2 linked regions of the Lytechinus pictus genome follow. The protein of the gene in region 1 interacts with the protein of each later gene in a pairwise test. Links are inferred from orthologs where the notes say so. Each region holds a gene or a part of one and is shown on either strand. Other genes may lie near its edges. The genes, in order: BTB/POZ domain-containing protein KCTD9-like and protein N-terminal glutamine amidohydrolase-like.

What was found.
Region 2: the proteins of BTB/POZ domain-containing protein KCTD9-like (region 1) and protein N-terminal glutamine amidohydrolase-like interact in binary tests that used the Homo sapiens proteins (3 or more experiments, as listed by UniProt). The link is inferred for Lytechinus pictus from reciprocal best matches to the Homo sapiens genes KCTD9 and NTAQ1.

What each region holds. Positions count from the first base shown.
Region 1 is NC_087256.1:3,243,914-3,260,837, forward strand, and holds the start of BTB/POZ domain-containing protein KCTD9-like, read right to left. Parts: upstream 6,024-16,924; 5' UTR 5,967-6,023; coding exon 5,904-5,966; intron 1,194-5,903; coding exon 1,072-1,193; intron 56-1,071; coding exon 12-55; intron 1-11. Other genes in the region: lactadherin-like, read right to left, coding at 10,589-10,765, 11,477-11,805, 12,445-12,592, 13,556-13,920, 14,438-14,585, 15,144-15,290, 15,586-15,755, 16,392-16,401; EGF-like repeat and discoidin I-like domain-containing protein 3, read right to left, coding at 16,581-16,586. UniProt on the Homo sapiens protein: Substrate-specific adapter of a BCR (BTB-CUL3-RBX1) E3 ubiquitin-protein ligase complex, which mediates the ubiquitination of target proteins, leading to their degradation by the proteasome.
Region 2 is NC_087247.1:43,139,969-43,156,177, reverse strand, and holds the start of protein N-terminal glutamine amidohydrolase-like, read left to right. Parts: upstream 1-8,816; 5' UTR 8,817-9,222; coding exon 9,223-9,308; intron 9,309-12,523; coding exon 12,524-12,623; intron 12,624-13,539; coding exon 13,540-13,593; intron 13,594-14,287; coding exon 14,288-14,436; intron 14,437-15,129; coding exon 15,130-15,257; intron 15,258-16,209. Other genes in the region: deoxyribonuclease-1-like, read left to right, coding at 1,203-1,290, 3,180-3,227. UniProt on the Homo sapiens protein: Mediates the side-chain deamidation of N-terminal glutamine residues to glutamate, an important step in N-end rule pathway of protein degradation.

The sequences.
Region 1 (16,924 bases):
AAATATCTTACCTATAAAAGGTTCATTCTCTGATATGTACAATATTTCATCATCCCTGCAGAGAGAGAAAAAAAAGTATCAACTGAAACTAGATTGGCTGGCCAAGAGCAGGGGCACCATCAGGGTCTGTTTGATGACATAAAACAAGGAGATGGGGGCTGTACAAGCTCAGCTTTTTATTTTGACTCCCCGCTTTTATTACATACTGTACTGTACATTATATTAAATGCTTATCTTGATTCTTTGTAAACATATATTTGTTGTAAAAGTGGAACAAAAAATTCAATTGTAAAAATTAAAAGATATATCCAACCTTTTCCATACCCTTTTTTTAGCTCTCTTTTCTACCTTTTTCATCTATTAAGCTATGTTTTTTTTTTAAATTCATTGCAGTTGTGGACTTCACCAACTTCCACACCATTCCTGGCAAAAATGCAAATTTCATCTAATTTGATTTTTGAAAAAAAAAGAACTAATCCCTCTTGTGACCTTCATCCATATACAAAATCTGTTTCCCAGAGAGCTGCAGCATGGCAAAAGATCATAATTTTCTAAATATATGTATTTTTATTTCATTTTTTACGCTGACAGTACAGTAAGTCCACACTTTACATGCAACAGACTAAATGCACACTTGATTTGAAATACAGATAATCGGTATTATACAACACACATAGAGATCCGTGACAGCTGATTGGATGAATGTGTATCACATGAAATTCAGAGTTATCAGCAATAGTAACTTGTGCATGCGCATACCTGCATCACTGCGCTGCATACACTACGCGCATATATAAAATTTAGTAAAATAAAGGCTAAAGAAAGGCCCAAGCAGATCTAAGTAGATCTAGTCCTATTCCTTCTTTTCCTCTATTTTGGTTATTTGGTCTACGTTGACTATGTTTTGTCATTCATGCGACCATTCAAATATTACTTTCAGTGCAAACTGAAGCAGTCTATTCAACTGCACTTCACGTCGTCGAATAGACTTTTTCAAATTTGCAAGCTCATGTAATATTCCAAACGATCACACTCATTAACATTGAATATTTCATGCTATAGGTTTCATACCTGATTAAAGAGGCATCTTCTATTCTACCTCCCTTTGCTGTGAATACATGTGTAGCTGTTAAGCCAAGGCAGTTACTAGCGACTAGTATCAGTCTTTCCATCGTATCTGGGCATGCTATGACCTGGAATATGAATGTTGATAATATTGATAATCATAATAATAATTAATAAATAAATAATTATTGTATAGTACACACCATATCATGATATAAAATTTCTATGCACTTCAAAAGGTGAAAATACCCACTCACTTTTATCAAGAACTTTCTTTTGAGGATTACGTTTGTAGGCTGCTTTACAGTATTAAATTCATCAAATCAATTCTTGTACAAGAAACTTTATTTTTTGGCACTTTTTCAAGGCAGTGAAAAGCTCTTTTCAGAATGCATTTCTTTTCTGAACACACATAAAATTGTGCAAGAATATTGTAAGTCTGATAATTGAAGAAATTATTAATTCATTGCTTGACCATGGGCGGAAATCTCTCCCCAAAGGTAGGGGGACCAGGGGCTGCAAAATTTGACAAGCAAAAAAAAAAAGAAAAAAAAGGTTATCACCCAAAAAGTAAGGTCATCTCGTCCAAAATACATGTTTTATTTCGATTTTGAATGATGCATTTCTTTCCATCATAAGAGACCAAAAACAGTAGGGGACATTTGATATTGTGTCCCCCCTACTTTTTTGGGTAGGGGGGAAGCATCCGCTCTGTCCCCACCTGGGATTTCCGCCCATGGATGATTTCCGTTGAATCGTTGAAACGTACCCAATAATGACCACTTTAAAACAAGAACGTGGAATGCATGATGGAGATCACATAAACAAGAATGACTACATGGTCACAAGCTAGTCTCCTGAAACAATCAATATTACTGACTAAGACTTCATCATGGTGAAAGCTATCAACAAAAATCAGTGAAAATCTAGAGTATTCTTTGAAAAACCATTACCAATAGAGGCCAACAGTCAACATTGAAGACTCTATTAAGGGATGGTCCAGGCTGAAGATATTTCTATCTCAAGAAATAGAGTAAAATTCACATCTGGAGCAAAATGCTGAAAATTTGATCAAAATCGGGTAACAAATAACAAAGTTATTGAAGTTTAAAGATAAGCATTATTCCAGTGAAACAGTTTGAGGAATGTCTTTATGAATATTTATTAGGTGGGCTGATGATGTCATATCCCCACTTGTACTTTTGTATTTCATTACATGAAATTGAGTTTATTTGAAATTTTCTGACCAAGAACTAAGTCAATTGGATTGAAAACTGAGTACCGGTAAGTGCATTAGTTATTTATTGCCACAACTTATTTCATCATAATGGAGACACATCAATTACACATGTATGAAAAAATGAAACATTTATGATTTCATGTAATAGCATAAGAAAGAGGAAGTGGGGATGTGACATCATCAGCCCACCTAATGAATATTCATGACGATGTGCATATAACAAAATATTGATAAACTTTAAATTTCAATAACTTTGTAATTTGTTATCCGATTTTGATGAAATTTCCAGTATTTTGCTCCGTGAATTTTACGCTATTTATTTAGATATAAATATTTTCAGCCCGGACCATCCCTTTAAACTTATTCGGGAGATTATCTCTTATATAAGTTGGCAGTAAAGGAAAAGATGATGGGCAGATTCATGAAAATTTTCCCTTGAATATTTTTCATCATCTACACACAAATGACAAAACAATTGAGCTTCTTACTAATGACAGAAAAAACATGATAGAGAAAACAAAGATTAAGCATGCTCTCATAATGTGGCACTCCCTAGATTCTTTGTTTCACTATGCCTAATTCCCACACAAGTTTGCAGACTGTAACCAACAAGCCTGTGTTGAGTTCATGCAATTTTCTAACACACAATATTTAACATATCAGTTTTGTAAAAAAAAAAATAATAACAATTTTCTGGAGTGGACTTGACCTTCAAAGGAAATCCATCATTAATTACCACCTTCGACAAGCAGGTCTATAGGGCCTGTGTCTAGGTTCCATAATGAAAAGACAAAATTCATCACGGAGTCCTCTAGACTACCCAAGACCCCACATTTTACTCTTTGTAGTTGTAGGGATTGATTTTGTACTTATATTTCTTTCCACTCTTATTCATGAATCATCCCCTTTTTTCTAATAGAACATCCCTCATTTATATTCACCCTTTTCATCCTAACTTCCATTCCTTCATGCACAGCTCTCTCTTATACATTAACTGCTGTAGGTGTGCGGCCGCTTAAAGGGATGGTCCGGGCTGAAAATATTTATATCTAAATAAATAGAGTAAAATTCACAGAGCAAAATGCTGAACATTTCATCAAAATCGGATAACAAAATTATTGAATTTTAAAGTTTATCAATATTTTATGAAAACAGTTATATGCACATCGTCATGAATATTCATTAAGTGGGCTGATGATGTCACATCCCCACTTTCCTTTTTCTTATGTTATTACATGATATCATAAATGTTTCATTTTTTCATACATGGGTAAATGATGTCTCCATTATGATAAATAAGTTGCGGCAATAAATAACTAATGCACTTAATCAGTTGTCAATCCAATTGTTTTAGTTCTTGGTAGAAAAATGTTGAATAAACCTTATTTCATATAATGAAATACAAAATGACAAGTGGGGATATGACATCATCAGCCCATCTAATGAATATTCATAAGACATGCCGAGAACTGTTTCACCGGAATAATGCAAATCTTTAAAATTTAATGACTTTGTTATTTGTTATCCGATTTTGATCAAATTTTCAGTATTTTGCTCTGTGAATTTTACTCTATTTATTAAGATAGAACCATCCCTTTAAAGGAGAATGAAACTCTTGGAGCAAGTTAGCTTTTGTGAAAGCAGAAAAATCAAAGAATAAGAACAACAAAAGTTTGAGTAAAATAGGACTAGCAATAGAAGAGTTATGAGCATTTGAATGTCGAGATCACTAATGCTATGGAGATCCTCCCATTGGCAATGCGACCAAGATCTATGATGTCACAGATGAACAACTCTCCCCTTTTGGACGCTGAAAATATACCCCAAAACATCTCTTTTTGCTCATTCTAATCATATGACAAACGATTCATCAATGATATAATGTTCTGAAACCTCTGTACTTGTCATCTCATAAAGAGAACACCTCACCTTGTGATAGACTCTATAAAAGTGAGAATATAAGTGAAATAAGTACTTAAATAATGAGGGAGTTGTACGTGTACGTGACATCACAGCTCTTGGTCGCATTGCCAATTGGAGGATCTAGATGGCATTAGTGATCTCAATATTCAAATGCTCATAACTTTCTTATTATTCATTCAATCTTCCTCAAACTTTCAACAATATGTTTCTTTGATTTTTCTCTGTGATATGGATTCAGCTGGTTTCAAGTGTTTCATTTTCCTTTAATGTTTTTCCCATCCTTAACTATTTTGGACAAACCATTTTAATCCATACATATCATATAAAAATGACTGATGGTACTTCCTTTTTAATCGTGCAAATTGGCCAATATTTTATTATTATTGTCTTATCTGCAATCTTCCCATGTAATTGATGTAAACTTTGTATGTGCTTTGTTTTTGTTTTTATGATGAATGGAATAAATGCTGTCAAATCTAATCTAATCAATAGCAAATCGCGGTGGTCAAGATTGACCACCGCTACTGACCACGATAGCATTCCCCAGTCAGCCGCCGCCCTGTCTCCAGTGCGCGGTACTATACGATGTACAATTCATATGGCGCTTCAATCCCGCAAGCTCCGTGAGGCAGCTGCAGTTCACCTCAAAACGGAGCGCAAACGCTGCTAAATGCACAGTTCCACTGAAAAGCATGTGAAAATAGCAAGCGTACACGCTTTTTTATAACATTGACTTCCGGGAAAAAGTGGCGGCCGACATCGACTCGCAAAAATGCAATTTTCACGTGAGGACGTTTTAAAAATTCACAAACATCAGGAAAACCGTGAAAAATCCACTTTTTTGGACCCCTTGTTCCTTAACTACGATGTTAAGAAGTACCGAGTGTGATATTTTTTCCGCAAGATATGGTGATCTAGGTAAGAAAATGTCACTTTTTATTTGAGATTTTGCCCATGTCGCCGGATAATTTGTAGTGTGAATGTGACCTAGTGAATGTGTGGGGTACATCTCTAGTGTGTTGGAGATTTCAGTGGTATATTGCCGAGTCTGCTTAAAATGCCGCACACCAACCCCCTGCCGCGCACCGACGCAGTTACTCTATATACGTGTAGCTCATTTTATTCGTATTATATTCCTTTTTTTTCTCTATTTTCTTCATTATTTGAACAATCATAGTAATTGGACTTGCAATCCCCACCTGCAGGATTGGACATGGAAATTTATTTCTAATAACATTCTTCCTGCACCCTTTATATTGGATTGCACAATGCCATGAAAATAAAAAAAAATGTCATGACTTTAAATATGTTGTGATGAATCATGAAGGGCGTGTCTCAAAAACACATGAAACCATTCTCTTATTTTTATATTCCATTTATTTTCCGTCACTCCAATCTCAGAAGAGACTTTAGACTAAATTATTGATACTATTGAAGACAAATATATTCCACTGAAACCGAAAAGAAATAAAATAAAACAAAGACATCCGAAAGTATGTATGAATATGATTACAAATAATTCAACTAAAAACGTGACACAACTTTGTGCAGATGGGACCGAGATAAAAATCGGGACTAGTACATCTACAACTACAAGCTCACAATCTCCTGTGATAAGCGCTCTCATCAACACGTTTTCCTCTAAAACAAAACACTATTTATTCATTTTACATACCTTCCCATCAGAAGTCCTTCCATTTCGAAATATTGTGACTCTAGGGCGTGTATTTGAGGCCATCTTTGCAGGAATGACGACGGCAATCAGCTGATTTTACGCGACGGACAGTATGGTATCTCCAAGCAATAAATCTCCAAGAAATAAATTTTCCAAGAAATAAATTTTCCAAGAAAAGGATTGAATAAAAAGTCTGCTTGTATATACATATAGTTGAATAGCGGGACAAAGCAATATCCATTTATAATCATTTTCGAAATCATTCTTTTATTCTATTTATATAAAGAGTGAACAAAGAACATATTGAAGATATAACTGTATGAAAATTAACAGTAGGCTGTCCCCAAATTTTCATATTTCACTCACACTTCTGATAATATTACTATATACACTGTTAGAAAATTTATCCTTAAAATAAAAGAAGTTCCTGCAGCAGAGTCTCAATAACACCTGTAATCTTACCAGATTGCGTAATCTTACAGAAAATTGGTATTTGGTGTATGGAATCTTACAAATTTCCTTAAATAAAACACCCTTTTTCCCTTTTTAAACAGACCTGTTCTGTTAAATTGCAGAAAAATTCCTGTTTTATGAATTTACAGAATGATTTTGTAATTGCTTTCTGCAAAATCTTCTTTTTTTCTGTAAAATCACGGGTTTTTTTAACAGTGTAGTGTTAGTTGGATAAATAACATTATTCAACATATTTATAGGCCTAGTGCTTAGTAATACAAATGTTTCTATAAGCGCTGCATGTTAATCTATTATTACAATGCTTTTGCAATATTTATAGGGTTAAGCTGCACTAATCTGTAACACTTCCTCATAATAATATGGAAATATATTTTTTCGACGTGATTTGATTCAAGTTAACAAAATATTTAAAAATTATAATAAGGTACATGATAAACGATATTTGTTTCCCTCCTCTTCTAATAATAGTTAATCCATCAAGTATAAGGTGACGGAGTTATTCATTTTGGCCATACAGGCTTGATTGCATTTCGACACTCACACTTATATGTCATATTCATCTCTATAATCTTGAAATACCGTTTACGTGGGAGTAGAGATGACTTGCCCGCTTCAGTTCCGGCTTCAGTTTAGTTTATTTGCTCGGATCTTCATTTTGACGGAAATCACTTTAATTCGAGTTAGCATTGGATGGCATACAGTACTACTGTTTTCTCCAAACACTAGCATCTTTTATCTTTGTCTATAGCTCTTTCTGTTGTCTATCCTGAGTCCTGACTATAATTAGCATGCTCCTGCTCTACTTAACTCGCCGACTCAGGCCAGCCTTATCTCATCTCATATCAACGACTTAAGCCAGCCTCCTCTATTCTCAACTCATTTGGTTTACAGTATGTACTTTTATGTAAGGGCTAAACTTGATTTTGAAAGACACTCTACTTTCTCGCCTATTTCACTTCTACCTCTATCAACTTTTTATTTGTAGAACTGTCACACAGTGTACTGTAAACCACTTCCTGGAAGGGTAGACTAGTGACTTACCACCGATCCAATCATTAGGCAATTATATTCATTCCAAATTCTTTTGATTTCTCCCCTCTATGATAAATGTTTATAATCAACCCAATCATTATTTTTATTAGTGTTGCACAGCTGAAATATATTGTGATTTGTTTTGATTATTTTGTATTTTGTAGAGCCTATACAATGATTTACTTTGCATTATCGCTTTGTTGACAAACAGCTGAAAGCATTTGGTTGGATAAATAGATGGACAAGATACGGTATCAAACCAACGTGGGTATACATTTAACATTTAAGATTCTTGTTATTATTGTTCCGTGCAAAATGAAATATAAATTTTGATTCTTACAGTACATTCTTAACAACTTTTAATATACATAATATACATGACTGTACGCATGACAGTTTTTTCCCCCACATGATATGCGTTTAACATATTACATCAAACACCTATATATAAATATATATATTAAAAAAAAGCAATCCAGATATCAAAACCCTCATTCATGCATGCAGAAACATATACAATTTCGAATCCATTATAAGCTAATATGTTTGTTCAAGTCAGTTCAAAACAAACATTTCTTAATGCTTTTTTTTTTAACATACATGTATCTGATTCATTAGCAGTATAGTACAAAATACAATTAAATTTTCATCAACACTTTTATACAAGCAATAAGGCGTAGAAAATAAGACAAAAAGCAGGTACAATATACAGTGCGCCCCAGAAAAAAAGGAAACCAGGATTATCATGTCTTTTTAATTCAAAGGCAAATAAATTTCGATTTTTCATTTGGATAATCATATCATTCAATTATTCCTCTTTATTTTGATAACTGATCTAAGACAAACACTTCACGCATTAATGAGCAAGCAGAGTTCGAAATTTTAATCAGTCAGACCGCAGGTCCCTATGCTAATGAGCAAAAAGGCCAGATTCATCCAAATCATCTCGTGGCTGAATCCTCCTCCTTGTAAAATCTCGTGATTCGTGAGATTTTCTTTCTCTAAGAATTTACCTTATTTAATCTCAAGTTAAATGAAATATTATTACATCATCGGATAGAGTAAAAGTTACTCTTTCATATTGGTCATTTATGTTGTATACAATATTTTGTTAAATAAGTAAATTTCTGGCCTGAAAATGTGCCATAAAACTGAATTTTCTTCCTCTGTTTTCTTTTGCATATTGTGCAAAACTTTTTATTTTGAGCCTCAATGATATCTATATCACCATAAAGCTGAACTTCTGTACTTTCTCACAATGCCAATCTTGATATGCGGCACCTTTTAATCGGGTCAAGATCACACTTTTCCCACCAAGATACAAGACGAGATTTCTGAAATTTTGCACTTGCAAGAAATCCAGAGTTCTGATTGGCTGGATAAGGTTCACAGAACAACAGGCGCGGGGTATTTGAGGAGATTACCACATGGGAAGTGTGACCTTCCCACGAACCCAGGCACTGGAACCGTTGGAATTTGCCATTGTGTGGTCTCTTTGACCAATCAGAGAGCAGTATTCTTGTTTTCAAGCTGCTTTATGTACCTGGCAAATGAAAAGTGTGATCTTGACCCGATTAAACCAATTCTTATTTTGAAACCTATATCATTTTAAAGCATACATATTCAGCTTTATCATGATATAAAAATCATTTGGGCTCAAACAAAAGTAAAGTGTGAAAATAGCAGCTTTTGTCAGGTGAAAATTTTTATTTTGTAGCATATTTTAGATTAAAATTTTAACCTATATTACAAAATTTTTGAATAAATCCAAACACATGACCTGAAAGAATTATTCTTTTTATTTACAATGGTACCAAATTCATGAAATTCGATGCACAATTAGAGCAGCAATGACCGAATGAAAAGAGGTGTTTTGGTCCGCATCAAGCTCATTAAATATGCAAAACATCTCAAGTCATGAATATCACTTGGATGAAAGAAGCCACTTTCTTGGGACCTGCAGTCTGACTGTAATGTCAAAACCAGGTTGCGCAGAAAAATTGGACAAGATTGGTTCGTGGTACGACGACCGTGTATATTCAACGATTGGCTCATTAGCATTTCTTTTGTATTCCTTGTTAAGCTTCTCTCACTTATCCTTGAAATGAGAGTGGAATCAGATTCACACGTAAGTTTCTGAGCAAATTGTTTCTGATACACCTCAATATCTATTGTTTGTAACCTGCCATGCGTGAACGAATTGCTAAGCTGTTGGTTTCAAATGAGAGATGAGATTCCACTCTTGCCATGAGTATCAAATTTATAGTAAAAACATATTTAATAATTGTGAAATCTATAATTGAGAACGAGTTTCCTTTTTTGGGGGACGCACTGTATTTCAAAGGAGGACACACTTTCAGTAAACCTTTTGGAAACATAGTTACCTCAGTTTCCGTAATCACTGACCAAATTATGTAGCGATTCTCAAAATACAGATATATCTTTGCAAAGGATTTTATGAAAAGGCTATATAATCAAATCAGTAGGCCTATAATACCTCACCCCATACCATTACAAAGAATTTGAACCTGATTAGGGATTCTTCTTCTTCTCCCTCCTCTTCTTCTTCTTCTTAACCAAAATCATCAATTTTCGAGATTTCCGTCTCAGACACTCAAAAGAACACATAAAAACCACGACCTGAAATCAATTCAAATTTGAATTTTATGGCAAAAGGGTACACGATATGGGACACGATATGGGCAGTAGCATTCATAAGTAACTTAATTTAATGAAATGGAAAAGTCTTCGACGGAGATTGTAGCGACAGGTAAAGCATGTTTATTATTTTGCCCTTTAAAATGTATTTGAAAGCAGTATCCAGTTCAATAAATCTTGCACACAGCTCATGATTAGCGTGCGATCCGATTTTGGAAAAAAAATAGTAAAAAAATTCGAATATTGATGCATGAAACATCTTTATTGAACGATTGCTTATATTCAAATCTGTGACTATGAAATCATCTTTACGACTTAAGAAAAGGCGAAGTAAATTGTAACAATATAGCTACGATTTAAACCAATTTAGCCTTTATTCCAAAATACAAGCTTGGTATCACCCAAAAATGTTATATTCATATGCAACCTCTGATAAAAAGATATTTTTCATTCACAGTTTTATACAATAAACAAAATGCGATTTGTCCCAAACTCGGTTCGTATACCAGTCGTAAAGTAAGTCAATGGACAGCAACATCGGGTAACATGAACGGGCCTTCGCCGAGAAGTTCGAATCTGAGACCAATGTGGTCATGCCACGCTACAGGAGCGAGCAGGACGTAACGGGCCAGGATGGGTGGATTGAATCGGTTGGTGAAGTGAGAAAACTGGTCGCAGTTACCAGTGAATATTTTAATCTGAAATTCAAAACAATGTGCATATTTAAGTCATTAATCATCATTATCACGACCAAAGGCGTATGTTAGAAAATTATCAATTTTTCGTCAGTACTTGCACCACGTACAGGCACAAGATGTCGCATTTATATGTGGCAAAATTGACAGGGAACTTCTGAAGAGGAACTTTAGAGGAACATTTACATTTCTATGGCATCGATGGTGTCAGTACCATCCTTGATAATGCATCCTCTTGTGTCTGTAGCAGTAGTACTGACGAAAAAATACAATCCCGAGGCAAGTGATAGCACATGAAATCGCTCTCCCCTTCCATTCTTTGATGCTCTGAATTTTCGGTCGTTCATTATATTATTAAACTCGCGCCACTTGCCTCCTTGATGCGCCACTTATTATGGTAAATGACTGATATGAATTCTCCTTTGAATTACATAAATGTAAATTTCAATATATAATTCTACATTGATCAATAAATATACAAGAGACAATAATCTATACTTTCTTGAAATTGGTCTTTCTTGTCACATGGTCACTGAAGCCATTTAGCTTCAACGAGGGTTGTTTCCGCCCTCACACTATTTTTACCCTTTTTATTTTTTAATTATGAACTATTAAACGCAATAAGCAAAACATTCTATTAATATTACGTTTTCTCAATATTCAATATATTTTTTTCATCGATTAAATATATCACGTGAAATTTGATATAATGACCTCTTTTGCTTCTCCGCATGTCGATTCAGTCACTGGGATCCAATTCCCTCTACTCTCTTGGCTGGTCCAGACAGTATACCGGGTCACCCAGTGAGCGGCATCACTCCGCCCCTGAGTTATAACTCCCGTCAAACGATACACAGCCATGAGATCAACCTGGATCCATTGAGCGAGATCATTGATGCGGGGCACCCATCCCCCGACCTCGTGGTTGAGTCTCGCCGATTCGGAACAGTACGCGTCGTCGCTGATGCACGAGGACGCGGCAAGACTCGAGTTGGGTATACGACCACTTTCCAGGCCCAACTTGTTCTCGTCAATCCCAACTTCTGTAAAGCAAACAGTATACCCAAATAGGAGCATCCATGCAGAATAGAATGACCGTTTCACTGATCATTTCATTCCCGAGGATTATAGGTCTATATGCATAAAACGGGAGGGGAGGGAGGGGAATGGCTTGATGACGAGACTTCGTCATCATAATCACCTCAACATTCCCATCATCATTCAAACAACATTGTCATCATCGCCGTCGTCATCATCATCATATATATTCAGGATATCACAACTATCCTCAGCATTACCATGTTTACCCTAATTTTGAACACCGTTTGTGAGCATCACCGTCACCGTCAACATCATCATCGTCATTATCATTATCATCATCATTATCACCATCATCATCATTATTATCATTATCATCATCATCATCATCATCATCACCATCATCATCATCACCATCATCATCATCACCGATCCTCATGACCATTATACCACCTCTCTTGTCACCACTACCACTATCTTTTTCAATATCATCAACATCATCATCATCATCATCACCACCATCATCAATATCATTATCATCATCACCACCATCATTATCACCGATATCATAATTATCATCATCACCATCACCACCACTATCATCATCACCATAGATCTTTTCAGCAACAACATGAAGTCCATACCTGCGACTGGTCCATTACCGAGGAGTTCTAGTCTGAGAGCAATATGCCTGGTCCATCTCTTTGGATGAACCCTGACTGCACGAGCCGTCAAGGGAGTCTCAAAGACGTTGATGATCGGTGTTGCACGGTCGTGATTCCCTTGATAGATCTGAGAATGGAATAAGTAATTCTGCTTAATAATCGCTTGCCTTAATTCCAAATTTGTAAACCATCTTCCAGCGGGCACTACCCGATCGCCTATTCCCTCATAATTTCCAATTTATAATAAAACATTTAGGAAGTCACACGGGCCTTCAATTTTAACTTTGATTAGGGAAAGGCCACTTTTCGATAAGGCACATTAACAGCACAAATAAGAAAATAAATAGCAAAAAATCACCAAGACCATGAGAGAGGGTTTGAGGTCAATAAGTAAGACATCTAATGCCTTGACTTTGAATAACTTGGATGTATATCATTTAGATGTCTTCAGAATGATAGACTCTTCACTTTGATATTGCGTTTGCTCCGATTAGCAATTATATCATTAAAAATGCTAAATAAGATCATCTAGGTCCTGTTTCTTAAAGACTTGACATAATAACAAATGCACAATTTCCATACCAAATTTACCATCAACTAATGAGATAGAAGGATTTCAGTAGCTTTTCGCAAATTTCTTATTATAACAAGTTTTGCGAAACGGACCCCTGATAATTATTTCGTTACGGTCAACCGACTGAGTGATAGAGCGACAGGGTAATAGTAAGGTAGATTTCGCCAGTTTCCCGAATACCGCTACACCCACTACATCAGTACCAGACTAGAATCAGACTACCACCCATTATAATAATAATAATAATAATAATACATAACATTTATAAGGCGCTTACTACTTGTGTTTCTAAGCGCACTGTGTTCTGTTTATGGTTTGTACTTGGGTTTAAGAAATAAAGAAAAAACAATGTGGCAGGGGAAAATGACACAGCTAATACAACTATACTAATAATCAAAAATCAAAACTGGTGTGCACCTCCAATTGACCGACCCACAACTGTGAATCATCTAATAAACAGGTAGGTTTTGAGTAGGGTTTTGAACTGATTCACAGACTTGGCATTATTGACCTAACCTTCTCTTCATGACCACAATCCTGTATGAACGACCACATCTTGCCATCCATGCTATGCGATACAGCAAATGACGTCACCCATTGGTCCGCGTCTTGCCTTCCTTGCGTGATGACACCAACCACTCGGTATTTATCTACCAGATCTACTCCTACCCATTGGTTGTGATCGTCAAATCGTGGTATCCACGCGCCTGGGAGTTTCTCCGATGACGTCACTGTGTACCTCGAGGTTTCCCCTTGTCGCTCATCGCCAGCGAAGTTGAGACGCGCGTATTTCGCGCAGTTGCGATCGTGGTAGCAACTGGATGCGTAAAGTTCGGAATCCGGTATTCGATAATCCTCCAGGCCCAGGGTATTCGGTACAACTGTTGAACAAGAGGGTGGTGACGATTTAATGATTATCAATTTGAGAGTGATTAGTAACGAGAATCAGGGGAGCGTTTCATATTTATTGGAACTGCGATGGTTACAGGGTTCAGCAGCCAATCAAATTCAAGGTTTCCGTGGCAGTTACCATACTGACAAACTTTATATATGAAACAAGCCCAGGATAGGAGATTGGTAAGATGTGTATTTCTGTTATGGTCGATATTATCGAAATGTATCGGGATTTGGGTTGTTTCTTTTTTTATTTTTGCCTTTTCTGATAGAATGTCTGGTATCGTGGGTTTTTTTTTTTTTTGCAATTGCTAGTCTAATATTGCCGTTTTATTTTGCCGAACGATAAAATATTCGTTAGCAAGCTTATCGACTAGAAAAACAAATATCATCATTTAATTACTGATAAAATAATGTTACTATTGGCCCATGCTTGAAATGTGGGCTGAAGACATTGTGAGTACTATCAGTTACCCGGGATCCTTTTATTAATCAATACTCCACCTGGAATAGGACCTGCACCAAACAGCTCAAACCTCAATGAGACGTGATGGTGCCATGATAGAGGCTCGATACGGACGAATCGGGCGACGAACGCCGGTCTGAAGGGGTTCACCACCAAACTGTTTCGATCTTGATTGCTGTGAAAAACCTCAAAGGATGAAAAGCATAGGAATAGCATTCTTTCCGATTAATTGTACAAAAGCTCTGTTTGACGAGATGGAGAGATATTTTATCTTCCCATGTCGACTAAATGACCTTATCATTGCGACTAGGCGAGATACGTATTCTTGTCTTCAAAAAAATATATGTCGACACGGCGCGCCGCGGCGTGATACGTTATATTGCCAAGTTGACATCGGCCGACAAACTTTTTTAATCGACCCGGCAAGACGTCTTATATCGCTATGTCGACATACGCTATCAGGCGGACATGGTAAGGTATTACATGTATTATGTTTTCAATCTCGTCAAAAAGTTGGAAGTTTAAAACTTCTGTAATGATATCTATTGTAAATAAGTAATCATGTAGGTTGCCTGCAACGCAACGATATGGCTTCATAGCGGGACATTGATTTGATTTTTAATAGGCATGAAAAGCTCGGTTCGGTAAGTCAATTAAATTATTTTTATTTCAGGACTTATGGTAGTGTTGACATGTTTGATATTAACTTTTATACCCGATGATTTAATATAAAGTTTCCAATACCTGAGGTTGACCATCGTTTCCTAGACTATACGTCCAGGAGTATCCATCTAAACTGTATGGCACCAAGAATGACTTCACCCAATTTTCGGCATTATCTCGACCTTGAGTCAGAACGGCTTCTAGACGAAACGACTGGCGTAAGTCAACCTAATGCAATAAATTGAAATGGAAAAAAAAATACAAAGGATAGTGAAAATACAAGATAATTTCATTTGAATCTAAAGTAATTTCTTAAAACCCTTTGGCTCCATTCGAACATCAAATTTAACATGTTCCCTTTTCTACTATTGTGTTGCTTAGTTTAATACTGTTTATCTGGATACGGAATTGCAATGCTTCTAGTCGATGGTCACTGTACTAAAGGTTGTTGCGTAGGAAAATCATAATGATATAGTATTGTCTGGGGTATCTTTTAATATTCCTTGTTTATTTATCTGTTTACCTGTATCCATGGTTTCTTATCATTTTTCTTTGGTGACCATGCTTGGTATTCATTGAATAACCTTGCCGTGCTCGCACACTGTATCGTATTCCAACATGATGACGCACTGAGCTGGGAGTCAGCAATGCTTCTGTCTTCCATACCTAGTGGTCGAGTTGCCATCACTTCACCTAAAACAAAACATCGAGAAAGTGGAAAAGTCAGAAGATATCAGTACGTTATCTGCTTTTACGGTCCGTCACCATTAATCAACCGATCATCATTACTGTCCACTTAGAGTGGTTTATTAAACATACCAATTTTTCTTCAATGTTTGATTTATCATGCACATTCCTCAACCTAAACCAGCTTGGGAGTTGCTGTCCACCTCCCCCCCCCCCCCCCGCACAAAATTAGCGATTTCGGGGCAAATGCCCAACGTCGAATCACGACGCTTGACGAGGTTTGTTTTCGGGGGGGGGGGTCAAGTCTCGAGAATCTTTTGGTACCAAGTTTATGAAAATTAATAAGTTGTGGGGCAATCCTCAGTCGGCTAAAAAAAAAATCGACACTTTTAATCTTGGTTGCCGAAACTATGATACAGTTGCTTTTCGATGGATTTCAAAATTCGAATAAGTCAATTTGGATTTGCTATAAGCATTTTTTATGGAAAATGTCATAAAAACAATAACATATAGTGCTGTTTAGTTACGAAATACGCCAAAATATTCGATTGGGTATTGGGAGGGGATTCACTAATCGTCGTAAGAAAGATCCCCGTCTTTTATCGTAAATATCCCTGATTAGAGTATAGATGGTTACATTACCGTTTGTCATTTTCACACCGAGGAGTTCAAATTTCAGAGCGATTCTCTCGACCCATGAGACTGGATAGATCCTTACGTAGCGAGCAGTAAAAGGAGGGTGAAATGCGTTTGTCACCTGTGTGCTGTCATCGTTATTCGCTATGAACTCCTGTGAGATATTTTAAATGAAAAATAAAATGTCAATAAAGATTATACCTTTATTAAGATATATTTATTAAACAAATTTGCAGAGTTCGGGGTATGAAGAGAGTTGAATGCAATGGATTACATCTTTTTGTTCAATCTTTATGTTCTCGTGCCACCAAGTGGCAACATCGGAAAGATTGAGATAGAGTGTCGTAGGCCTAATGAGCCAACAATTATGAGGGGACCAGATATGGCGTATCGGGCAAAATGTGTTTTAGAAATGCGAGTTAGCGAAGCAACCTAACTAAAATTGCAACATTTTTTTATTTCAAAATCAAATTTTGTGATTTTGACATAATAACATAATATTTAGGAAATAATAATATATTTTACCATCCTCTCTTTCC
Region 2 (16,209 bases), on another chromosome or scaffold:
TCATGTGTAAATGATGTGTCTCCAATATGATGAAATAAGTTGCGGCAATAAATAACAAGTGCACTTTATTAGTTGTCAATCCAATTGTTTTAGTTCTTGGTAGAAAAAAAATTGAATAAACCTAATTTTATATAATAAAATACAAAAGAACAAGAGGGGATATAACATCATCAGCATGATCAGCCCACCTAATGCATATTCATAAAGACATGCCTAGAACTGTTTCACCGGAATAATGCAAATCTTTAAATTCAATAACTTCGTTATTTGTCATCCGATCTTGATAAAATTTTCAGCATTTTGCTTTGTAAATTTTACTCTATTTATTGAGATATAAATATCTCCAGCATGGATCATCCCTTTAACACATAGTGTTGGGGCAACAGTACATCCTTTATAAAGCATTTTAGTCTCGCATACCCTCGCAAATTCGACCGTAAACACGTAGCTTTGCTAGCGAAATGAAATATATAGGCTACCCCCTTTCCAGTATTTTATTGTTTTTGACACCCTTGTTACTTTACGTACGTAACGTGCCCAATCTTGAAAAAGAGACTTTTTTACGCAATCATTTTTGGTCGCGCCTGGTATTCATCCACTCGTCAATGGAAGTGGTCCACCTGGGTACCCCCCTCGATGATTCATAGATAATTGGACTGCTATGAGAGGCATGGTTGTTTCAAAAGGCTCGAAGGACCGCAACGCGACTAGATTCTTCCAATAATGTGTTATTTTGTTAATACTACTCAATAAAATATTGGGGATAGAACAAGCAGAAGTCAAGAATCGTCATATCCGTTACGCGCACTCGGGCAATAAGCATGATAAGCCCGTAAATGCGCGAGTTGTCTTGAAATTTTCATTTAAATCCATATATTACTCTTTATGATCAAATCGCGCTAATTTCCATGGTATCCGCAATCACCGCACTAAAGCAACATTTTGCACGCAATGAAATGGGGATCTCAGCCAAATTTAACTATGCCCGTTGTTATGGGGCGGGTCCAGGGGCAATGGGCAGAAATCTTGTGAACTATGCCCGTTGCCCTGGGTAACCAACTTAGTTTATTGTTCTGGAGGCATGGTCAAATACATGACCTCACTTTTGAACAATGAGAGGGATGGATTATTCGATATTCTTAAAGAGAGGTTTATAAAAATATATATCATATTCAATTCCATTACTATTTCAATCACAATAGGATCGTACTTGCTGGTATCGACGAGGGTGACAGAAGTTCCGGGTTCGTCTTCAACTTCCAGTCATATTATCGGCTCACTCAGGAAGAGGTACAGAACTTTTTTTTTTCAATTATCCCATTATTGCATCCCTTGAAAGTCAAGTCTACCTCCACAAACAAGTTGATTTAAATAGAATAGATATAGAGAAAAAAATTGAATAAATGTAATTGTGACATCATGATTTTTTTTTCATAGATGAGTTCCTTCGATTCAATCAAAATGTCCAAAAGTATCATCATTGTAATGATAGTGGTGGGATCACAAAAAGCACAAGATAATGGCTCATTCAAAACGGCCCCTGAAAGAAAGAAAGAAAGAAAGAGAGAGAGAAATAGAAAGAAAGAAAAAAGAAAGAAAAGAGAAAGAAAGAATCAACATGAAACAGAAAGGGAAGTATCGTTTTGTCAGGCAATTGTTATACCATAGAGCTATAGCTCTATGGTTATACTATCCTTAAATTAAGGACTCCGATATGATCAGTTTATAAAGATAAATTGCAATCATGATGTTAAAAAATCAACCAAGCTCTTGATTATTTTGAATGACATGAAATGAAATGAAAATGTCTGCAACTGCATGTTACATAATGCAAAATAAATACTGCCATTTCAGTGTTTGCTCATTCGCATACCGCTTGGTGTAAACTGTTTTGTAAAAATTATAATATATATTATTTTTTTACTTGTCATTTTTTCAGCAAACCAATACCCTTTCTTTATAAATCATTCCCAAGCCCCTGCCAATTTTGATGATCTTTTCAGTATCATTTTTTCATTTTTTATTCAAATCATGTGGTTCTGATAGACATGAATCGGTGATAACGGCAGTTAATAATTATCATGATTATAATGCAATGTACGCGGGCGTTTTCTTATCGTGCTTATTGTATATGCGTGAAATTTCATGAGAATCCACTAAAAAGCATAATGGAAGAAATATATATATATATATACAACCCATAGGCCTATAACTATTTGTTATAATTCGTCTTTCGTCAACATTTGTCTTTTTAGGTATAGGCCTACGATGGTCTTCGTCAGTTTAAATTGTTAAAGGGATGGTCCGGGCTGGAAATATTTTTATCTCAATGATTAGAGTAAATTTCACAGAGCAAAATGCTGAAAATTTGATCAAAATCGGATCACAAATAGCAAAGTTATTGAATTTTAAAGATTTGCATTATTCCGGTGAAACAGTTCTAGGCATGTCTTTATGAATATTCATCAGGTGGGCTGATGATGTCATATCCCCACTTGTTCTTTTGTATTTTATCATACGAAATTAGGTTTATTCAAAAAATTTCTACCAAGAACTAAAACAAATGGATTGGCAACTGATTAAGTGCATTAATTATTTATTGCTGCAACTTATTTCACCATAATAGAGAAACATCTTTTAAATAATTATGCATGAAAAAAAGAAACATTTATGATTTCATGTAATGACATAACAAAAAAGGAAAAAGGGAATGTGACATCATCAGCCCACTTAATGAATATTCATGATGATTTGTATACAACTGTTTTCACAAAATATTGAGAAACTTCAAAATTCAATAACTTCGTTATTTGTTATCCAATTTTGATGAAATTTTCAACATTTTGCTTTGTGAATTTTACTCTAATTTATTTAGATATGAATATTTTCAGCCCGGACCATCCCTTTAAGTATTTTAATGTTTTCATTATTTCTAACATCCAGTGTGACTTTACCAGTATGAATATGGTAACACACACACCCGCACACACACACACACCCTCACACACGCATATATATATATACATATATATATATACATATATATATATTCGTAGATAGTACGTTTTTTATTTGGTGACTGACAACGTCGATAACAATATAATGATACTTAGTCAAACCGACCCCTACCACACCCTCTCTCTATTTCTCTTTCTCTCTCCCTAAACACACACTTACAGGCGAAGGATGTCAGCGATCATTATCCTGTTTATTTCGATCTCTACTGATACCACTTTATACGTTTGGACAGATTCATTGATAATGGATAACTCTAATAATTCAACTTTTTATCAGCTATAAACTTAATCGTAAACACAATTAATGGAGTGAATATAATAATCGCTAGATTTATGCAAGATTATGTTAATAATTAAATAAGGAGGAGGAAGAGGATGAAGAAGAGGGTGAGGAAAACGATGGTTGGTGATAATGATGATAAAATACAGTCTTGTAGTAATGATAGCAATGATGATATTCATAAAATAATGATAGCAAGAAGAATTATATCAGAAATTTTAAATCATCGATCATCACCATTATAGTGATTATCATAATTTTGTCGTTCCTTCCTCATGATTGTGGATAAATATGTTAGTAAATTCAAATGAAATAAAAACAAATGAATTGAAATCAGAGACCAACTATTTGCTTACATGTACCACTCATCATAATACCTTTAGTAAGGCATACGACAATATTTCGTGCTATTATACCAAGCCGTGTAAAATAATGGCTACAGTGAATGACTATCCCCAAGAGGTTCATAATAATGAATATTCACCTAAAGTATGTTTAAATATTAATTATACGTGTAATCGATAATTTAAAAAGTGATTAAATTCCAATCTGTGCAACATAAACTGTGTGTGTGTGAGTTTTGTAATGGGTAATGTTCAAGGGTTAACGCAAGAACATAGTATGTTGACACAATAATTTTATATGCAACCCATAAGACGAAAATTTCAATTAAATAGAAGATATTCAATTATTGGGAAAGTAAAACATGTGTATATACCCATTTATATTGGCCAATTAAGAACCTAAGGTTCCCCATTTCCAATTGGAGTTTAATGGTGGCAATAGGGCCAATTTTCATTTGGTTTAATAGGCATGATAGGAATAATTTGTTGGGTCAATTATTGGCAATTAGCAATGAGTTATAAAGACACTTGGTTCAATTGACAATTGGTTTTACTATAGTGACCATGCAATCGGTATTGGTCTCATAGAAGAAATTCCAGTGGCGTAACAGGCGGGGGCGGCTGGCGGATTTCACCGGGAAAATTTAAAAAACGGGAAAAAGAGAAAAGGGAGAAAGAAAGAAAGAAAGAAAGAAAGAAAGAAAGAAAGAAAGAAAGAAAGAAAGAAAGAAAGAAAGAAAGAAAGAAGGATGGAAGGAAGGAAGGAAGGAAGGAAAGAAAGAAAGAAAGAAAGAAAGAAAGAAAGAAAGGAAGGAAGGAAAAAAGAAAGAAGAAAGAAAGGGTAGGGAAAGAAAAGGAGGAAAAAGAGGAAAGGGGGAAAGGGAAAGGGAAAACGTGAAAAGAAAAATAAGAAAAAAAAAACATTAAAAAAACCGTAAGGAAAGCGGGAAAAGGAAGGAAAGAAGAATTTGAAAGAAAGAACAAATCATTCCGAAATATACTGATACATTAGCATGATTAGTAAGAAAGGGAAATTAATTTAAAGATGATGGCAAACAAAAGCGGGAAAGAAAGAATGGAATGAGCCAAAAGCTAAATTGGAAAATGAAGGAAAGGGACACGAAAAAGGCAGAACTTAATAACACTACCGGGACGGCGTGTAATTTTGTGTATGAAATCTATTACAAGCTTGCTAAATTTTATGCAATAACGGTCGCAATCAGGACAAAAAGTCCTTTGCCAAAGGATAGACATACCCCCTTCTTATACCAGGTATATAGCCTTACGTTGGCAAGAGTTACGGTTAACCAGGGGCTCTGCCCAAGACCCCATGCAGTAGGGGCTCTCCATCTGTAACCTTCAAAGAATCAAAGTGCTCTATATCGGGCCTCCTGTATGGATCGACCCTTCCTGCATTAAAGGAAAAGTCCACCCCAACAAAAAGTTTATTTGAATAAGAAGAGAACAATCTAACAAGCATAACATTGAAAATTTCATCAAAATCGGTTGTAAAATAAGAAAGTTATAACATTATAAATTTTCGCTTAATTTCTCAAAACAGTTATATGCACACCCTGGTCGGTATGCAAATGAGGAGACTGATGACGTCATCCACTCACTATTTCTTTTGTATTTTTATCATATAAAATATTCTAATTTTCTCCTCATTGGCAAGTGAAACAACGATTAATTCTTCCCTGAACCTGTGGAATTAGCATTGTTTAATACTATATGGTTCAGTCAAGTTGGTCCTTATTGTCAAATATGTAAAAAAATTGAATATTGTATAATTCAAACAATAAAAAAAAAAAAGAAATAGTGAGTGAAGGACATCATCGACTGTCTCATTTGGATGTCACTGAATTGTGCATATTACTGTTTTATGAAAAATAGGCGAAACTTTATAATGTCATAACTTTCTTATTTTACATTCGATTTTGATGAAATTTTCAGCGTTTTTCTAGTTGGATTTTTCTCTATTTATTAAAATCAACATTTTTCTGGGGTGGACTTGACCTTTAAGCTTTACGTTGAATCACTGGCGTAGGGGTGGGGGCTTGGTTCCACACCCAAAGGGAAATAAAAGAAAATAAAGGAGGCGACGAAATTAAATGAATGGAAAACAATAAAATGTGTTATTTACTGAATATAATGTAAACATCTATCACTTGATTAGAATTTCATTTCAAAAGGCCATTTTTTTCTGACTCGCTTCGCTCGCTAGTGACTTTTTACAAATTTCTCCACATTTGCTATGTTGTGCCCCTTCAACATATTTAGTTTATTACGCAACTGCATTGAATAAATGTGTTGTGTAAAACCTTTATCATATACCCGTGATTTGATTTTAAAAAAATAGCCGCCATCTGTGAGGCTTAAAATAGCTTTAATATCAAGAGGTTCCAGGGGCAGAGCCTCGGGACCCCACCTGCATAGCACTGGCGTACAGATGGAAGTGTTTGGGCCATGTTCTCTAAAAGTTCTACAACCAAGAACAAAAAAGAAAAGGAGGAAAGAAAATTAAAGGAAAATTGTAAGATATTTTCTGAATATCATGTCAAAATCTATCTAAAGGTTAGATTCTCATGAAAAGGTGATTTTTTTCTTGCTCGCTTCTCTCGCTCGCGAATTACATTAAGCAGGTTTTTTATACTCATCACGCTACTGCTGCATAGACTTTCGACCTAATGCCCGCGCACAATCATTAAAAAAATTCCTGTTCACAGTAGCGTACTGACCGAAAAAAAGAAAGAAAAAAGGAAAGAAAAGGGATGGGTGAAATTTAATATATATTTTTTTAATATTATGTCAAAATCTATCACAAAATTTGAGTTTTGCAATAAAAATGTCAACATTTTTGCTCGCTCGCAATTTTTTGTTCAATAAATTATGCCCGATGCGCCATATGTGGCCCCCTCAAAAATTTTGCCTCATTACACCACTGCCTGTTCGTACCATGACATTACCGGGAAATTGTTGGCCCTTGCCCCCCCCCCCCGGCCAACGACCCCTGTTACGCCCCTGTGAAATTCATGTCATATAAGTACTGATCAAGTGAGTGCAATGATGATGCTTGAGCAGGTGCAGGAGACATCATAGATACTGATATTTACTATACCCCTACATTTATACTCTCTATTTATAATCATTGACTTTCGAAGGTGGACACCCAGGGGTTAAGTAATGACAACTACATAAATATCAATACAAATGCTAACAAAGTAGATAAAAAATAAAGATAATGACAATTTTAGGCAAATTGAAAAATATTGTGATTAGAAGTTCCTTTAAGAGCTCAATTAATTCAATCGTAGAACATTTTGAAGTTGTTTTTTTTTTTGCTTGTCAACCAGATTTCCAGGGGGTACTGCCTATGGTAGATAATGAGCACCCCCTGACAACTCAAGACCATGTGGTATACTTTATATTCAAATGAGAAGAAATACTGAAAAAAGTCAGATAAAAAGAGTTGAAAATATCATTTTTATATACTTATTATTTTGTAAAGCTGTGTTGTGGCGGATATTTCTGTGGAGAGCTATGCAAATGAATTTGAATGATGTACCCAGTGGCGTACCGTGGGTCACGGCGTGGGGGGGGGGGGGCACCAGCAAAAAAATTTGAGACACTTAGTGAGCGCGCTCAATTGCCATGTGTACTGACCTTAAATATATATATTTTAAGGACTGTGCCATTAAACAGTTATGTATTTCACTGATCAAATAATGCGAGCGCGAGCTGAAAATTTTTGATATTAATTCAGACCTAAGAATGGACATTATAAGCAAATTTTCGTAATCATGATACGTACCTGTCTCGCTAAACAAACATTGCGAGTGCGAAGCGCGAGGTGAATTTTCTTATATATTGACCCCAAACAGGGACATTTTAAGGACCTCTTTTTAGGAATCCATTAAGAGTATACATTATCTCACCATAATCATATAATGCGAGTGCCAAGCGCTTGCTGATTTTGTCACGGTTAGAATTACACCTAAACACATGAAACACTTTTTGTAGTCATTGTAATCATTATCAACATGTGCATCTCACTAATCAAATATTGCGAGCGCGAAGCGCTCGCAATATTTGATATATAGATCAGAAAAGGAGATATTTTAAGGACTGATTTTAGGAATTTATGAAGAGCTACATATCTTACCAATCCACTAATGCGAACGTAAGCACGGATAGAAAATGTTTTATATGCAGACCTTAAAATGGCCGGGCAATCACTTTAAGCAGTCATGAAAAAGAAGCATAAAACAATAATAACTCTAAGTGCGAGAAAATATATTTGGTGTATATTGACTTGAAAACAGAATGTTTTAGTACAACAGGATCATATATCTCGTCAAACAGACAATGCGAGCACCGGGAATGATTAACATATAGGCCATGAGCAAATTATGTTTCATAAAGTTAAGAAAAAATATTTATAAAAAATATTTATGTAATATAACAAAACATATATAATATAGTATTATAATATGCAATAATTTCTTCTTTCCTATCTACTTTTCTCTTCCTTTCTCCCTCTTTTTCTCCTTTTTCTCCGTTTTTTTTTTTGCCTGCCGACGGGGGGGGGGGGGGGGGCGTGCCCCCATGCCCCCGTACGAGTTATGTCACTGGATGTACCCAGAATAAGGATTGGCTGATTATATTTCAAGTCCATACCCTATCATAAACAGTATATAGTTGGTACAAGAACCGGGTTATCAAATTAGATGCTGGGTCAACGCTCTTTTCAAAGAATGTTCAGTATTGTGCATATTCATTCAAATAAACCTTAAACCCAGGGGCACTTGCATTGACAAGTGGATACCATGCGCGACCAAAAACAGAAATGTAATTAAAATATTTACATAAATTTGACGTAGAATCGTGGGGGCTAGGGGCTTTTGCCAGCCAGCCCCCCCCCCCCCACACATACACTTTTCATTAGCCTTTTGCAGAAAAGTGAATATGCCCTAATTACAATTATTTATGCATGTTACCCCCATACACACACACCACACACACACTTTTTCAAATTCGTTCCGCAGCCCCTGCATCAAATTACCTTCTGTTCAAGATATGCATTCTATGATAATATTCACATCTTGTCTGGTAAGAAGATGTCTGCGGTTTTACTTCCTGGTTCAGTGATTATCCTCCTCCAAAACAATTAAAAATAAATCGTAAAAACTGTAAAAAGACACTTGTGTAATTTTTCGTATCTAACAATAATTTTGCCTTTTTATATATTATAAATCAACTGCGTACAGGCTGTGGTGCATTTGCACCCTTCCTGCGCTCCCGCTAAGGCAGACTGAGGAATTCTGACACTGGCAAGCAAATCGAAATTTATACCCCTTCTTCTGCTTTCAACAGCTGATTTTCCAAAATTAAATTCCACCTCCCCAAGATGTGCACCCCATACAAACAACAACAAATGCGCAGACACAACTCGTATCTCGCGGTCGCTCCGGATCCGCAAATGGGAATTCCCCATATATCCACCTCTATGGGATTCCCCTTTTTCTTCGGAGACGAGCCCAAGACGAGGGAAAAAAACTTTCATCTAATGATCTAGAATAGAATGCCGAGTATCATGAGTACGGGTGAAACTGTTCCGTTGAGTATCCTGCCTCCATTGGCTGACTGTTATTACTGTTATTGCTTTTGGTAAGTCTTGACAGAATACTTAATTAACGCTATTAAATAGGACTTCCTCGATACTGATCCTGAAGCCAGTTCTCTTCACCTCGGACTTGGGCTCGGAGCTCAGCCGGCCGCCGGCGCGCTCGGGAGCTGAGGCTAGGCAAGGTACACTCATACGAATAGTAAATACGGCCAGCATAACGCGTATACTGTTACTCCATATCACGTATGAATATGAAACCCGCAATAATTATTATTTTAGTATGGGTTACTTAGTGAAGTGGAGTGGAGCCTGCATGCACGAACTTCGCTCGAGGTAGACCTTGGCTATAGCCAAGGTCTACCTCAAGCGAAGTTCGTGCAGAGCCAAGGTCTACCTCGAGCGAAGTTCGTGCAGAGCCAAGGTCTACCTCGAGCGAAGTTCGTGCAGAGCCAAGGTCTACCTCAAGCGAAGTTCGTGCAGAGCCAAGGTCTACCTCGAGCAAAGTTCGTGCAGAGCCAAGGTCTACCTCGAGCGAAGTTCGTGCAGGCTCCACTCCACTTCACTACCGCTACACCACGCTCCACCTACCCGAACTTCGAGACTGTGAACTCTATCTGATATTCTGAGTGGCAAAGGTGGAATTTTATGGGGGGAAAATATAAAATTCATGCAACATCACCACTCATCCTACGAACGAGGTTATAATATACAACATCACAATCTTTAAAAACAATCAAAACTAATATTCTTACTTTACACCAAGTTTCATTTCTTTTCCATGCTTCTATCAGTCTCAAAATTGGTGATTTAGAGCCAACATGAAGTTCCTCACATGTATAAATATTTTGCTGCCGATTTCAAAACATCGCATGCACGCGTGAGGGTCCGAGCTCGGACCGGACCTGGTACCTCGCGCATATCGCATGCGATACGGCAGCAAATTATTTATATGTGTGAGGAACTTCATGTTGGCTCTAAATCACCAATTTTGAGACTGAAAGAAGCATGGAAAAAAAGTGAAACTTTTTGTATTTAAGTAAGAATATTAGTTTTAATTGTTTTTAAAGATTGTGATGTTGCATGAATTTTATATTTCCCCCCATAAAATCCCACCTTTGTCACTCGGAGTATCAGATCGAGTTCACGGTCTCGAAGTTTGGGTAGGTGGAGCGTAGTGTAGCGGTAGTGAAGTGAAGTGGAGCCTGCACGAACTTCGCTCGAGGTAAGCCAAGGTCTCATGTGTTGCAAAAAACTGAATCGCAAGTCAACTTTATGTCCAAAATGAATAGAAATGACAGAATGTTGGGCATTTCATTGCCAACGACATTGGCAATCAGCAATGGTATTGAAAATTTACAATAAAGACATGAAAGATGGTCTGCTTTCTGCATCAATACAACTATGCAGCTAGCCCGGTGGCACGGGCACGGTCAGACAGTGCTCTGCTCTTTTCACCAAAATTGCAGCTGACTGCAGCAGATCAATGCGGCCGGAACGGCGTAACAAAAAGTATGCAAAGCTTTGGAATGGATTTCTTTCTTCTTTTTTCTCGATAAGAAGAAAATGCTATGCTTTGGAACGACTTTCGTTGTCCTTTTTCTTATTAAGATAAAAATGCTATGCTTTGGAATGGAAATTTGAGCGTAAAATTGAGTGTCCTCTCAGCGGCACATACTCACCATGCAGTATATACTGAGTACCCCCCCTGGATTGTTCCAGTCATTGAAAACTTTGGGTGAAGGAGCGCCCTCTGAGGTTGAGTCTATTTTGTTGCTTGAAGATTTTTAGCGAGTGACCTCTAGTTTTGCAGGCTTGGTGCATTGTGATTAACTTGGCAAAAGTCTATACACCCATCTCCCTGCTTGTATCATGTCATCCCATTTTCATCTATACATGTACGAGTGTATGTAACTTCAGATGTTAGAGTCTCTCTTCATAATGTTTGTTGGCTAAGATAGGCAGTAATTTAGTGGCACATCTCTGGACTCTTTCGAGTTTATCAATGTCCATAAAAAATCTAGGATGCCAGGCACTGTTCCCATACTCCAGATGAGGTCTGACAAGTGTTTTGTAAAGGATAGGTAATGTCACTTTGCTTAAGTATGAGAAGGACCGTTCTACAATGCCAAGCATCTGATTAGCTTAACTGACTGCAAGAGATACAAGCTTGTGAAATGTCAATTCCAGATCAACAAGAATGCCATGGTCCTTTTGTTTGGTGGATGATATTGATTTGCTTAAAATTGATCACTTGTAAATTTGCATCTGAAATTTGCAATTGATTGCAAATATTTTCTTGCAGCACCACATTAGTGTGCAGTGGTCACTCTAAGCTAAGCACTATCCCAATTCTGTTTGGTATCACCATCATGCTACCACCATCACAACCACTGATGACAGTGGGTCATACACAACATAAACCAGATACAATGGAGAGGTGCCATGGCCTAGTGGTCTCAGGAGCCCGGCTATACCATGAAAGTCAGGATTTCAATTCCTGGCACAGCCTTTGACCAACGAATGTTAGGCCTTTGCTGTTTTATCTTGCTTCAAATAAATGAAAATGCTTTGAATAAATGAAAATGCTTTTATGCATTGTTGATACCAACGTGTGCACATGTTAAAAAAAACACAGACAAGATAGGTCTACATATGTAAGTTAATGCTTTTGACCTTGAATATGTCTATCTTATAAAGTATGACATCATGGTATTGGAAAGTTGAGGTTCTGGTGGTGCTGAAGCTTCCCCAAGATTTTTCTGGGGGTGCTGTGTGTGTTATTGATAAGGTCCCCCAAGTCTGTGCACACACATATCTGCACGATTTTAATGAAAGAAGATATGCAGCTACTACAAACTTTACACATGCAATACATAGAAAGATATTCATTACAAAATCTTACTCAAAATAGTGGAAAAATTAATGATTTTGGGCATTTCATGTGACGGCCTCAAAATACAGCCCTTCTCATTAAAAGTAATCCCTGAATCATGTGTAAAGTCACAATTCTTTGACTACCTGTTTACTTGTTTCAACCAGAGAACAATAATCTATTGTTCTCTGTTTGAAACAGGTACCGGTAGTCAAAGAATTGTGACTGATAGTGTAAGAGAGCTCACTTCATGAATTCAGGACTATTTTCCTGGTTAGCTATATCCACTTTCTGCATTGAAATCACCCCAACCCCCCCCCCCCCCAGAAAAAAACAAAAAGAGAGAGGAAATTAAATAAATGCATATGTTATCTTTCCAAACAGTGAGGAGAATATATGGAAGCTGTGTGAAAGTGTAAAAAAGAACTTCCCTAATGAATTGAGCAGGACGTATGCAATCTTCATCTCAAACAAAGAAAGGAAGGTGAGTAGAATTAATCATATAGAATGGGGTACTCTCAACAGTACACATTCAATTTATTAACTCATATGACACCCAAATTTTCTGGGAATGATAACTGAAATATTTTTCATCATTATGAAAGCAAAAGGAAACAAAATAGTAAACATAAGAAATATACAATATAAACAGAATGTTAGAATTTTTGGCTACCCATAATTTTAGCACAGACTTAGACCATGGTCTAAGTTAAACCTGACCTCAGAATACAGGCAATATTGTATATTTAATAGAAAAGGAGGGTATTGATAGGATGGGGGGAGGGGTGCCTGGTCAAACTTTGTCGTCTTTTCATGTATCAGAAGCCTGTGATGTGTGGATCTCTTTTGAAATGAAAAGTGATTAAACAGGATATTATCTTATCGTGATATAAATACTATTAAATACTGCTGATGATATTTGAATTCTGTGTCCATGGTCAAATAGGCTTTAGAAGATGAGATCGCAAAAGGTGTGATATTTAGATACTTTTTTAAGGCAGTGACTGTCAGTTAATCTTGAAGAAGAATTGAGAGGTTATTTCCAAACTTTGGAGATCTTGAATTGTTCTATGCGATGCCCTAAAAGGAGAGAAGAAATACCGAGATGGTTGCCTTAAATCAGTTCTGACATATGCGAAATAGCAAAACTTTATCTATGCATTTGAAGAATTAAAATTAGTTTTAATCTGGCAAGGGCCTGGTGGTCCGTCAGATCTGCAGATAATACAATTAACACTGACATCTATTTTGAATGGAGGTAATTCATTCCTGGATTGGATTACGAACACAAACTCATTGACCATTTCAAGAAGATATTGTCAGCAATTGGGGGAAAGGAGACTGTGATGATTGATGTGTTATATTTAGACATTCACAGTTTGTTTTTTGTATTTTTTCAGGTCCCTCTTTGGATGCAGAAAGCAAGTGGTCAAGGAGAACTCCCTGTAGTTTGGGTTAGTAAAGTCATGTTTGTTAATCATTTCATGAAATATTTTGGCAATTCCATATGAGGAAACATATATGACTTCATATGACAAATTTGTTATGTGAAAATGACTCAATTTTCAGGTAATTTTGTTACCAGGGTTTTGTCAATCACAATATTATGAACGTATTTAGTAAATAAATGGAACATATAAATCAGGTGATAGAAGAGGCATATTTTACTATGAAATGGGTAAAAAGGGGAAAGCCTTGTCCTGGTGCGAATGTTTGTAAGAGAATTACAATACCCAGATGTTTCAATTCTGGATTTTGTCATTAGGTAGCCATAAGTTATAGGATGATTACAATCACTTTCAAGTGAAGACATAATCAAACATTACTCAGGAATTCATGTTGTTTTCTTTTTGTTTACATAAGGGCATTCAAATGACCATTAAATGAATAGAACTAAAAGGACAGACTACAGAACGAGTTTTTAGACTTTATGATAACTTTGAAGGGATAACTCCTGAGCTTTATTTATTAGTGATTTTGTAAATAATCAAGATTATTTGTGAAAAGAAAAAAAAATCATTGTTTTATTTGTAAATACTCTAAAGTATGTTATTGGTAAATATTATTGTTGCATTTGTAAATACATATAATCTTGTTATTTGTGAATGATCTTGTTTTGTTTTAAAAAATGATCTCATTCTATTGTAGGATTACCATGTGATCCTCATTCACATGGATGCATCATGTGGAAGTCAAGTTTATGATATGGATACTGTGTTACCATTCCCTATTGACTTTGAGGAGTATGTGACTGTGGCAGTCCGTAGCAATGATGTTCTTAGGCAGGAATATTTCAGGTACCTCTTTTACATTTTAATAACCAGACTCAATAGTGTATATGCTTCAGAGAAGTGTACAGCATTAGGAAAACAAGAAATGATAATACAAAGTAATGGGACTTTATCTAGGAAGAACTGCGATTAAATGCTACTAATAAATTCAGCAGAAGTTTCAAATAATGGATTGAAATAAAAATATATTTCATTGTTTAAGATGCATCATCCATATTAAATTGACACTCTATCTATGGACTGTGATAACAGATGTGACCCTCAATGGAAAAACTTGCTCATTTGCATAAAGGTATTGGAGATTGTATTGAATCGCATGATGTGCTTTGATCCAATCAATCGGTTTTCCATAATTAATATAAAGTGTTATATTGTCTTTGATAGTGTACTACACTGTTGATTATGTTGACTTACCAGATATTGATATCACAATTCCCAATCTAGTGTTTTTTTTTTGTGGTAATATTCTATCCTTTGGCTCGTAACACAAAGTTTAGTGATTAATCGCTGAAAGCAATGGCTTATCAAGATCATTGTTGCATGCGCATCTCGTATTAGTAGGCTGACTAAGAACCAATCAGAATTGTTCTTTCAAATTAGTGATTATTTGCTAACCTTTGTGTTACGGGCCCCAGATCATCTTTACCCAATTTCTATCAAAATACATATACATGTACCTGTATTTGTTTTTTTATATAGATTCTTCAGGGTAGTTCCTGCCCAGGAATTCCTAGATATGTTTGCATCAGATCGATCACATATGAAGAAAGAGAATGGAGAATGGAGGACACCCCCTCCTTCTCATCCTTGCATCGTGGCAAAAGATGGTAAGAGCCTGTGGGGAATGGGGGGGGGGGAGGAGAGTCAATTCCATTGAAGAGTGGACAGCATCTCCGAGAATCATCCTTGAAAAAGAACCCTAAACGAGGAATCCCAGGCAGGCCGCTAGGGCACCCTAAAGCTAGAATTTGTCCAGACATCCGAAATTTGCAATCTTTACACTATAAACAGTGATTTCATTTATTATTTGGACATACCCTAAACCAGGCTGTTCAGTCTCTTGTTTTACAAGCACTTTCCACTGTGTGTATAGTATTGGGGATGTGGGTTTTAGGTCTGAGATGGGGTTTGGGATTCCATTTTGAATTTGACTTTTTATTGTACTTTTTATTGAGATGCCATGATAAGATTTTTTCAGGGATCTTGTAACTATAGATCCTGCAGCTTGTGCAAAGTACTTACCCTTTCCACGTTTTAAATTATGATTTTTTTTCTCTCTTTTTCTCATTTTAACACTGTTCTGTGCCTATCCCTGAAAAATACACCCTTTTCCATGTTTTTTAAATTCTTTTGGATGATGTCCACTCTTCAATAAAATTGACCCCACTGGGGGTAAAAGTAATTCTTTCATTTTCTTTTATCTCTTTTTGGTCTTGGTACATTTCTTTAAACCAAATAGTTAATTCTTCAAAAGAGAAATACATGGTAACAAAGTTTATTTCAAGGTAAATGAGAACAAGGAGCTTTGTTTATTTATCATTGTTGGATCTACTGAACAAAATAGATTAATTTACAGTTTAAAATGCATCTGATAATGACTATTATAGTGTGTAACCCAGAGTGATATGGTCACAATATAAAAGTAATTGGAAATGAAGTGATAGAATGGAGACAAATCATCATTTACAAATACTTTTTATTATTAACTATCCAATGTAAGAATAAATGTTCCATCTTGTCTGAAAGTTTAACTTAAACTATACAAAAGATATGGACATG